Linked DNA regions of Danio rerio. The protein of the gene in region 2 interacts with the protein of the main gene of each other region in a pairwise test. Links are inferred from orthologs where the notes say so. Each region holds a gene or a part of one and is shown on either strand. Other genes may lie near its edges. The genes, in order: rev1, poli and dazap2.

What was found.
Region 1: the proteins of poli (region 2) and rev1 interact in a two-hybrid assay, tested with the Homo sapiens proteins (2 studies listed by BioGRID). The link is inferred for Danio rerio from reciprocal best matches to the Homo sapiens genes POLI and REV1.
Region 3: the proteins of poli (region 2) and dazap2 interact in binary tests that used the Homo sapiens proteins (3 or more experiments, as listed by UniProt). The two-hybrid records come from large-scale screens. The link is inferred for Danio rerio from reciprocal best matches to the Homo sapiens genes POLI and DAZAP2.

The regions. Positions count from the first base shown.
Region 1 is NC_133184.1:23,410,459-23,414,758, forward strand, and holds the start of rev1 (DNA repair protein REV1), read left to right. Parts: upstream 1-1,388; coding exon 1,389-1,445; intron 1,446-4,300. UniProt on the Homo sapiens protein: Deoxycytidyl transferase involved in DNA repair. Transfers a dCMP residue from dCTP to the 3'-end of a DNA primer in a template-dependent reaction.
Region 2 is NC_133180.1:19,644,794-19,648,450, forward strand, and holds part of poli (DNA polymerase iota), read right to left. Parts: intron 2,646-3,657; coding exon 2,502-2,645; intron 2,287-2,501; coding exon 2,053-2,286; intron 462-2,052; coding exon 283-461; intron 1-282. UniProt on the Homo sapiens protein: Error-prone DNA polymerase specifically involved in DNA repair. Plays an important role in translesion synthesis, where the normal high-fidelity DNA polymerases cannot proceed and DNA synthesis stalls. Favors Hoogsteen base-pairing in the active site.
Region 3 is NC_133198.1:36,680,301-36,683,957, reverse strand, and holds part of dazap2 (DAZ-associated protein 2), read right to left. Parts: intron 590-3,657; coding exon 338-589; intron 1-337. UniProt on the Homo sapiens protein: In unstressed cells, promotes SIAH1-mediated polyubiquitination and degradation of the serine/threonine-protein kinase HIPK2, probably by acting as a loading factor that potentiates complex formation between HIPK2 and ubiquitin ligase SIAH1.

The DNA.
Region 1 (4,300 bases), on a different chromosome or scaffold from region 2:
GTCGACTTTGCTTTAAAAGCAGGTCTGGACATTTTAAGGTATTGATGACTGAAATATGCTTGTGTATTAGTAGCATCAGATACTCTAAATAAGAAAGCTTTACACACTTTAAAGATTTGTGAACTATAATATATAGTGCTCAGCATAATTGAGTACATCACATCTTGAAAGTGAATATTTGAATCCATTGTATCTGTATCCATTTCTCAGTGAGTTTTGGTGCATTTAAACAAAACAGATTTATCAAACAGATATATTTATCAAAGTAATATTTTAGTTACCAAACATATTTAGAAATTCAAAGATAATAAAATTAAATTCATGCAAAATATTGCAAAAAAAAATTACAACCTACAAAATTTTAACAAAATATTTTCAATTTTTTTTGCTTCTCTTGATTTTTCCTCTTTTAAAATTTGTATTCATTATTTTTCTCTAACATATAAAATTGGGTGTACTCGTTTCTGGTCCGTTATCATAAGTTATATTGTTAGATAAACTCCAGATTTAGCTTCAGTACTGACTAATCTAATATATATGCACAAATATAATATTGTATAGCTTCCTATTAAACATCTGAATTTAAAAGATATTAGGTGTACTTATAAATGCTTAGCACTGTAACTATTTGATTTATTACTTATGTACATTCTGTATATTTGTGTTATGTTTATACCCCCTGGCATGTATGTCTTTGTACTTGTAAAATGTTATATGCTGTCCTTTTAAAGAAACAAAAGGAAGCAGATTTTTTCGTTTTATTTTACGATATTTGTCATTGTTTACAGTAATGGCTGTTATATTCCGATATATCTTTAGATTTTTAGTTTATTAAATGTAATCAGTTGCAATCTGCAAAAATGCATTGCACAGCAAAGTAATAAAGTGGATATGCTATTGCACATTTATTGTGCTAGACAGTAAGTGTTTTCAGTTTGATTGTCTGAGGTGCCACTGTGTCTGTAAATAGCATAAAAAACAAATAAAATAAAAGTGGCTGGGAGACATCCATTATCGTTCAATTCCTCATTCTATAGTTGTGTTTTATTTTGTTAACTCTAAAATACTACACTTTATTAAAATAATTGCAGCAAAGTATTGTGACTATAATAAAGCATGGAAATATTATCTAAACATTAAAGGTTTGAAACCGTGTGCATTGTGAATAGTGCTATATTATAAGCAAAAGAGACACAACTTATTCTTTATTCAGGGTTTCAGATGTATTATTTCTTATTAAGAGTCACTCATCTGCATACTAATAAATGAGTGCAAAGAGGAGAACAGATGTGCGTGCTTGTTTTTTGTTTTCCGTGTCTATTTTCAGCCACTCACGCTTTCAGTTTTGGGCTCATTCTTTTGAATTGTTGTCTTTTAGGTCCCTCAGTATGAGTCGAGATGGATGGAGGAAGAAAGCCAGTGAAAATGATGGGTGGGGAGGACAGGTAAGAGTTTAGTTATTTACGCAGAAATGTGTTTATTGAGAGCAGGAAAGGCTCAACAGCTGTTTTATCTCAGAGCTGAATCGTCTTCGTATATATCCCGTGTTGTCTTTGCTATCTGTCTTTGTAAAAACTGAACATTATGTAAATAATAGAACTTATCCATAGATTTCCTTTTAACTATTAATTGCCTTTCTGCTGTTTGTACATCACCCATCATGCTTTGTGTGTGTGTTGCTGCTGAAGTCTAGACAGATTTTCATTTGTATTACACCAGTGAGTAATCTCAATTTTCTTCACTGCTGACCAGCACCTCTGCTCAGTCGCCACAGTCCAGACCCAGCTAGAGATTTGACAAGCTTCGGCATCTTCATGTTCTTCAGGCATTAGCAGAACCACACTAATATAAACAACTCCACAAGCTTCTGTCTTCACTAATAAAATAACAATCTTAGTTCTAACCAGTAGAACTGTTTTACCGCACAATTTGAGACCAGAAATGTGTGATTTTTAAGTAAATGTACTATGTATTTTACTGTGTAAGTGTGATTAAACACAGAAATAGGCTTCTGACAATATAATTTTTTGTTGCAATTAATTGCTGAAGGTTTTATGATGATGTATAGTATTATTGACCTAAGCTGCAAAAATATATTATAACCAAAATATTTGATTGCTTTATTGTCTATATACATGTTCAGAATAAATGAATGTTTTAAGCCAATTAAATTGTAAATGGAAGATAGGTACAATAGGTAATACTTTACAAAAAAGTACCATTAGTAAATGTTAATCAATGCATTAAAATCTACTGTAAAAATGCATTTTATATATTAAAGTTAATTTAGAAAAATATAGCTGAAATTTATTAGCTGTTATCGCACTGCTGTCTGGAATGCTTGATTTTGATTGGCCAATCTCAACATTCTGAGCTGAGGTAAAAAATCACTGAAACTAATAATACAGGCTCATCCATGTATTTGAATCATCCTGACTGTCAGTTAATACGATTGCTTCTGAATCATTTGCATGTCTGTCTCTGCTATTGTTTTTGATGGTTTGGCAGCATTTTGTGAGTTAATAGTACATACTAGGTCAGTGTATGCACCTTTCAGCTGGTTTTGTTTCTATCAGCTTCATCTTTATTAATTTATTATGGCTCAGAAAATGTTTAATGTCTAATTTTGACATTTATGGCAATAGGCATTTAAAAAGCAGGATAAACTACATTCATTTAGTTGTTTTAGCAGCCCAAAAAAGCCATACGCTTGCTCATTCATCCAATCATACGCTATGGCCAATCATATCTACCTATACTATACCGCATGTCTTTGGATTGTGGGGGAAATGAGAGTGTGCAAACTCCAGCTGGGACTTGAACCAGGCATCTTCTTAATATGAGTTGAAAGTGAGCCACCTTGCAGCCCTAGTTAATAACTCCATTTAATAAAAAGATGACTACATTTGATTTTAATGCATTATTAGGTGTTCGCTAATAAGTTAATGTCCCTTTAAGGCAAGTCATTTCACTTAGCGGCCTTGTTTGAAACGCCTCTTGGGCTGTATTTTCGAGCATTCCATCTGAATGGAGAAACATCAAATTTTTCAAAATTGTTTGCCAAGCTTATAATTATATTACATATTTGGAGTCAACAGTAAAATTAAACAACAGTTGTTTCATAAGTTTCGTTTCTAAACGTCTGAATTAAACAAAATCTGCATATTTTCAAGTTGCCAGAGCTAGTGCGCATGCAAACTCGAAAGGAATGAGATCACAACACCAACCTCATTTACGGCAGTGTTACACATCACACAGTGTTGTCCTCTGGATAATGATCATGTAGTCGCACTGGTCATCTGAAATAATCCACAGCTTGGTCTTGATAGCAAATCTTCTCCAGTAGTGAAATCGATTCTATGTTTACACTTTGAGTAATTGCTGTCTCATGATGTGTGTTTGACAGGACTGACTGTACTTCACATTCGTTTATACTGGAGACACGTCAGTCTATAGAGATTTGATGATTAGCTCCTGTACTAGTAGGCGGGGCTTCATTCGCCATATTGACTGTAACACTTTTCTCCATTCAAAACTATACGAGTGACGCATCTTGTGTATTCTATAGTCTTTGCCTAAGGTTAATCAATGCTTTTATATCATTACATTGACTGTAGTTAGGTTAGCTGACGTTGAATGGAAGCTGATCATAAATTGTCTATTAAGGCTTGAAGCGTTTGGTGCTGTGATGTACACTGCAGTGCAGATACAACAATATAAATATCCTTTAATGGTAATCTGAAAGTTGAAATTCTAAATAATTATTTACATTATTTTAAAAACCCACAGCATCAATATATTGTGCACGTTCATGATCACAGTGTATGGCATTATTGGACATCAGCATATGTCTACGCAAAACCTTTATTTGCTTTAGGTTGTGTGTGTGTGTGTGTGTGTGTGTGTGTTGATCTCTCAGAGTGTTGTCTCTCAGGTGTGTTGTTGTTGTGTGTGTGTGTGTGTGTGTGTGTGTGTGTGTGTGTGTGTGTGTGTGTGTGTTGATCTCTCTGATTGATATAAATTAGGTTCAGGGATGCCTCCAGCAAGTGAGTGTTTTCAGGAGTATTTTTCAGTGTGTGTGAGAGTCTGTTTATTGGTTCAAGCTCAACTCTTGAATCCCAGCGTTCCCTCCGTTGCCATGGAGACAGAGAGTCGCCGTGCCAGCAGGGCAGACTTGCACCTCCAGTCTCATTGAATGTCTGAGGCGTAATCAAACGCTTGTCAGCCAGACGCTGCACATTTTCCTTTGTGTGTGTGCCTGTATTGCAGTCTGTTCATTTCCAGAGGTTAGAATTGTGTG
Region 2 (3,657 bases):
AAAACATATGCTGAAATAGTTGGCGGTTCATTCCGCAGTGGCGACCCCTGATAAATAAGGGACTAAGCTGAAGAAAAATGAATGAATGAACGTTTTTTGTTGCTTTAATTACAAGTAGATACAATACTTTTTTGCTCTTACATTAAAAACCAAAGATCAAAACTTCTGCTAAATGAGTAAATGCATATTGTTGTAAACCCATCCTAAAACATATCCAATATTAAATCTGTCCCGTTAAGACTGCTTCATTTTTACCTGAATAATCATAAATGTGCAGAATACCTGAGGAGGACCCGCTGGAGTCACTGGAGAATCATCAATCCCACAGGCGAGGTTTTGGATCCTCTTAGCGTTCATCTCTCCAAACTCTTTCACCAGATCGGACAAAGGGTACAACTGTAGATCTCTCACATTAACCAAACCCAGAGCCTTCAGCTTCTCACGTGTCTTGTAACCAATCCCTGTAATAATCCATAATAATGCATTTATTTGTATTGCACTTTTTATTAAAGCTCTACAGTAAAACTAAACACATTATAAAAAAATAAAAAAATATGAGAACAATTACAAACAAACTTAAGGCATAGTTTACCCAAAATATTTAATTATGCCTTTACTCATCCTCCACTTGTTCTAAACTGCTTTGAGTTTCTTTCTTCAGTTGAACCCAATCAAAGCTATACTGACAAATGCTAGAATAAAACAGCCATTGACTTTCATAGTATATTTTTTATACTATGAATGTCAATTCCAACATTCTTCAGAACATCTTGTTTTGCGTTTAAAAGGAGATAGAAATTTCATTACAGTTTTTAACCACTTTAGAACTACCAGAAATTTGAACCTTCACTTCAAATAAATGCATCCTAATTAACTTTTTAAAATGATCAAAAGTTGAAGCACTTCTGGTGTTAAATGGAAATGCATTCCAGAATTTTCAGGCTTGAAGTAAAAATACAATCTTTCTCCCATAAGTTTACATGGAGACAGAGTGAATGAGAAGGACTATAAAAGAGCAAAGACACTCAGGTGAAGCTCTATGTAGTGCTTTATGTATTATTATTATTAATCATTTTTATTTAAATGCACTTCAAACTAAGGAAAATCCTAAAGTGCTAAAAAAAAAAAAAAACTTGAAAAAAAGCAAAACAATTGGATCATTGTATGAAGCTAATTGGGTGATTGTTGAAAATAATCTGTAGTAATATGTATGGGACGAAGACAGTTTTTATTTTTTAATTAATGGAATTGTCGTGGGTCTTGCTATTATGTAATTGTTGTATGATTGTATTTGTCACCAGTGTTAAAGACAAATTTACTTTCTGTGTCAAGCAGAACAGACAATAAAGTTTATTCCATCAAACAAACAAACAAACAAACAAACAAACAAACAAACAAACAAGTTAAAATCAGCTACCAACTGAGCAGAATGGGCAAAGTTTAATCAAACAAACAAAAAAAAGTTAAAGCGAAGTTAAAATCAGCTACCAACTGATTTACTCAAATACTTAAATAAATTTAGACATTAAAAAACGTCTGTCGAGGGTATGTTTTTAGACCCCATTTAAAACCAGCAGATGTTTATTGAGCCCTCAGATGTTTAGGAGGAGCACTCCAAATTATGTATAAAAATGAATTCATTAGTCCCTTATTTATCAGGGGTCGCCACAGCGAAATGAACCGCCAACTATTCCAGCATATGTTTTACATGGCTGATGCTGATTCAGCCGCAACCAAGTGCTGGGAAACACACATACACTCTTGCATTTACACACATACAAGCCAATTTAGTTTATTCAATTCACCGATAGCACATGTCTTTGGACGGTGATGGAAACCGAAGCACCCAAAGGAAGCCCACGCCAACACAGGGAGAACAAGCAAACTCCACACAGAAATGCCAACTGGCCCCAGCCAGGACTCAAACCAGGGACCTTAGTGCTGTGAGGCGACAGTGGTAACCACTGAGCCATGTCTTAAAATAAGAACTTTAAAATCAATTCTAGCATTGATAGGTAGCCACTGAATGGGTGAGTTTCTGTGTGATGTTACCTGGCACTTTGATGAGTCCTGTAAGGCTGCTCATGAGTTCAGCGGTGCTGTGAGGCAGGAGGGTGGTCTGCTGGTTGGGTTTAAAGCTGCCTGACACCAGCTTGGCTAATAGTTTGTTGCTAGCGACACCAGCACAGCCAGTTAGCCCCAGTGTGCTGAAGATGGCTTGCCTCATCTCAGCGGCAATCACAGAGCCGACAGCCAAACGAATGTTCTCCTCATCAACCACAACACCTGAAGATCAGCAAGATGATTTAGTATGACAAGAAATTATAGTAGTTCATTATAAACTATACAAGGAAAAGCGTAAGTTCAACTCTTCTAGATAATTTATTGCATTTATAAAATCTGAATCAGCAAACTACGAAATACTAGGCTAGATCTGTCACTAATGTTTGATGAAAAGGAGTTTAACATTTTTTATATTAAGCAGTGCTCCAACAACTCACTTTCATGATTGTATACGTGTCCATTGAAGGAGAGATCTGAAATACGGGTCTCCTTTATTCGTTTCTCCACCATTTCTGTAACGTCCATGAAGTTCTCATCAAAGCCCAGCCGCTCCACTAGAGGGCAGTACGACATCAGCAATTCTTGGGCAAACAAAGTCATTGTCAGTTTTTTAAGGCATTGTTGTATGCCTTAAAAGTATAGTTCACCCTAAAATGTACTTTATTAAGGCGTTCCAACCCTTCATGAGTATCTTTCTTATGTTAAAAACAATAGAAGATATTTTGAAAAAATCACTAGAGGAAAAACAAATTCAATGGAAGTGAATGGTTTCCAGATTTCTTTAAAATATCTTCTTCTGCAGTCAACAGAAAAAAGGCTATGTTTAGAACAAGTAAGGGTGAGTAAATGATGGCAATTTAATTTTTTGGGTGAACTATGCCTTTAATACACAGATTTAATATGTGTACTTAAAAATACCTAACTTAGTGTTACACAAAGATACTAGCAGGGTTCATACACATTTTTTACTACAAAAATTCTATGACAATGTTTTTTGTAATGTCTACATATACATAGTAAATAATAAGACAAACAATATTCAAATTTTTCACAGCAAATTATAGAACACGCAACAATCTATTTTGTTTAAATTTCTTTTTATATCCATGTAAAATTGATTTTGATAATGCTTACACAGCACTAACAATGTGAGAGCATATTTTTGGCCAAGTTAGGGCTGCATGATATACCGTTTCAGCATCGATATTGCAATGTATGCATCCACAATAGTCACACCGCAGGATATGCAATGTTGGGATTATAGTTTAATATAGTTAAATTGTAATGGAGTAAAAGTTTATCATCTGCTTGCATTTTTAAAGAAAAAGTTCACCCAAAAATTACTTTCCATTTTTGAGTTTTTTTCACAATTATTTCACAAAAAGAATATAATTGAATAACTCCTATAGTATTGGAATAAGTGAAGTGTGAGTAAATAGTGAGTAAATTTTAATTTTTGAGTAAACGGTCCCTTTAAGGCCTGTGACTGTGTGAACATTTCAATATTTCAAATTTTAAAACAACCGGCCACAAGAAAATTTTTGTAACTTTAATAAACATTAAATAATATATAATGAAGACTATGCCATGTTG
Region 3 (3,657 bases), on a different chromosome or scaffold from region 2:
ATGATGTGTTTTATGGTGAGAGCAGCTTGACAGTAATTACATGTTGGTGGAGATAAAAATAAGGATAAAAATCATTGACTGATAAAATTAAAAATAAAGCATTTCCATAGTATGTTTTAAATTATCCTTTGAGTAAATGTCTATGAGTGAGTCCTGAGCGTCTGATATGGCATCTTGTGTAAACAACCTCATCATGTCTTTTCATGTCATTCAGATTTCTTCAGATTTCTAAAAGTTTTCATCATTGTGACCCTCAAGCATAAACTGAGCTTGACTAATATAATGGAAATCTCATTTGGCTGATAAAACACATCATGTTTAGGGGACATATACTCACCGGAATGGAACTACCAGTGCCAGGCCCGAAGCGAGCTCCAGCATCAAATCCACCATCCACCATGACAGTGGAGCCAGGAGGGTACACGGGCCCCATCGGATAATACGCCATCGGGACACTAGAAGCCATGGCCCCCATTGGCACAGTCTGGGCATGCATGGGCATGTACATCTGAGTACCAGGGTAAGCAGAGGTCATCTGGGGCATTTGTCCAGGGGCTGGAGGGGGAGCCATATATCTGGGCTGATAAACCTGCAGGTAGGAGAGAAAACTATTTCAAACATTTGTGTAGGTGATAACAAAAAGTGTATAATTCACACTTAATATCAAGACTTCAATTGTTTTAATTGAAGTTAATTAGACTAATGAAAGACAATGGCATTTTAAATCTTAGTTTTGATTGTTTAGAGCAGAGGTGCCTAAAGTAGGGCCAAAGTTGGCCAATGGTAACCTTTGGTTTAGCCCCATCATCCCATCTGAACAGTAATGACGGTGAGTTGGTTGGGGTGAATGCCTTAGTTTCTTTGTTTAATTGAGTAGCTACCAAAAAAAAAGCCAACTAAAATGAAATGTTTCATATAAATGTTGTAAATGAATCAGACTTTTACTGCCACTTGACAGATAAAAGACAATGCACAAGACATCGGCAAGCAAATCAAGACAAAGGCCGAAGTAGCTCCACTAGTGTATTCAGCATTGAACACCATTGTCTAATAACTGGGATTGTTTGTTTTAACTGTAATAAGTTTATTATAACATGTTAAATCTGATACTGCATGTTTAAAAATGTTTAAAAGCAATGTTTTATTTTTATTTTTAAATATTAGCAAATCAATTAGGAAGTTTTCCATGGCAAATGTAATGTAATACAGTTTGGTATTTTTAACTTCGACCCACAGCCCTCACACCCCATTTACACGGGGCGTCAGCTGCAACGCTTCCCATTCACTTTGAATTAAGTAACATCAGGTGTTGCCGAACTGCATTGTGGACTCTTCGCTCAACATTTCAAGTGCCGACGGAAGCCTTAGCCAATCAGATCGCTGTATGCAAATACACCAGTTTAGACAGTGGCCTATTGCTGACTAATTTCATTGGCTGACGCTGCTATGATGATCGCATCAGCCCCAACTTCAGACACACCCTCTGTCAAGCGTTGACGCTGAAGCCCTGTGTGAATGGGGCATCAGTCAAGGTTTTGGGCCTTTTATAAGAAAAGTGTGTTTAAGCACCTCTGGTTAAGAGTTTAGTGCCTGCCATGACTATTAATTTTTAGAAATATCTAAATTAAATAAATAAATAAAACAAACAAATAAAGATCTGGTGTCACTAGGCATGGGACATTAACCGTTTTCAACGTTTACCGCAGTTTGGTAGACACCGTCAATTTTTTGCTATACCGTTCCTAAGGTATTTGTATGATTTTTTTATTTATATATATATAAATATATATATATATATTTTTTTTAGAACAACCATATCTCCAGCAGAAAAGATGTCCAACGTTGCTATTTTAAATGGTTAAAAAAATCAGTGTTTTGAAACAATTGAAGACAGCAGAGGTCAAGGATTCATTTAAACTATTCAGTCTGACATGTTTACTGCTCCAAAATATTAAGTGTTTCTCAAAATACCATATATTGTGTTCAAAGGGGAACCCAAACATTTAAAAGAATATATTTTAAAGCAGTAATGTCAATACCGTATTACAGTAAAACCGTGATATTTTTATCCAAGGTTATCAAACCGCCAGAATCTTATACCGGCCCATGCCTAGGCGTCACTTGATTAAAAATCACCTGAAAAACAAAAATGCCTAAATAAGATGTCCCAATCCCTCAAAATATACCCATATTTACTCATTTACATTTAAAAGTAAATTCATACCTCTTGATATTATGCATCACTCATGTACTGAGAACTGTAATGTAATGTGTTTTTTATTTAACGCCATGTTAGCAGCCAAGTCTATTTTCATGGCAAGAACATTTCAATAATAAATTTACAATTAAAAATCAACAAACAAATGAATATATACATTAAATACATTTTTACTTGATAAAAATGTAACATTTTTCCTGGTGTCACTTTGCTAAAAACGTCCTTTAGAGATTTAAATACATAAAAAAGTCTTCGGGAATCAAGAGGAAAAATGTATTTGAATGTGAGAGGAATTGCAGTATAATATACTGCGGTACAAACATTGAGTAGGGTCTTCACCTTTAAGCAAAAAAGCATGGGTTATTCTTGTACAGTTAAAGTCAGAATTATTAGCCCCCCTGGATTATTAGCCCCCCTGTTTATTTCTTTCCCCAATTTCTGTTTAACGAAGAGAAGATTCTTTTTTAACACATTTCTAAACATAATAGTTTTAATATCTCATTTCTAATAACTGATTTATTTTATCTTTGCCATGATGACAGTTAACAATATTTGACTAGATATTTTTCAAGACACTTCTACACAGCTTAAAGTGACATTTAAAGGCTTAACTAGGTTAATTGGGTTAACTAGGCAGGTTAGGTTAATTAGGCAAGTTATTGTAAAACTATGGTTTATTCTGTAACTATCAACACAAAAATAAATAAATGGCTTATAGGGGCTAATAATATCGAAAATGGATTTTAACAAATTAAAAACTGCTTTGATTCTAGCCGAAATAAAACAATTAAGACTTTTTTCAGAGGAAAAAAATATTGAGACATGCTGTAAAAATTGCCTTGCTCCGTCAAACATCATTTAGAAAATATTTTTTGAAAAGATTAAAAATTAAAAGAGCTAATAATTCTGACTTCAACTGTATGTCCAATACGACATCTGGGAAAAATCACCAAATCTAGTCTTAAAACTCTGTTTGAGGTTTCAGGTTGTATTTTATACAATTGATTTGTTTATGCATCCCACACTTTACTGTGAACACAAACAATTTTACATTAAAAAATAGCATAAAAAAGATTTTTTAAATAATTATTCTGCACACACCTGTAAATATTAAGTAAATTGTAAGTTGCTTTAGACAAAGGCATCTGCCAAATGCCTAAATGTAATTAGTTAACAAATGAGATGATGCTGTGACATGCTACTGAACTGATAAACAGAAATTCAATTCTGCAGTTGTATAAAGTCTAAATTTATGATTAGTACAATGTATTCATCAATCATTGGTATTCATTACTATTTATTTTTAAATTTACAATTAAATGTTATTTTATCACTGCAGTTTTAAATTAAGGTTTTAGAAACAACTCATAATAAAATCGCTGTATTGACTTGCCCCTTTTTATCTGTTATAACTGTCTAGAATATCTCTTACCAATGGG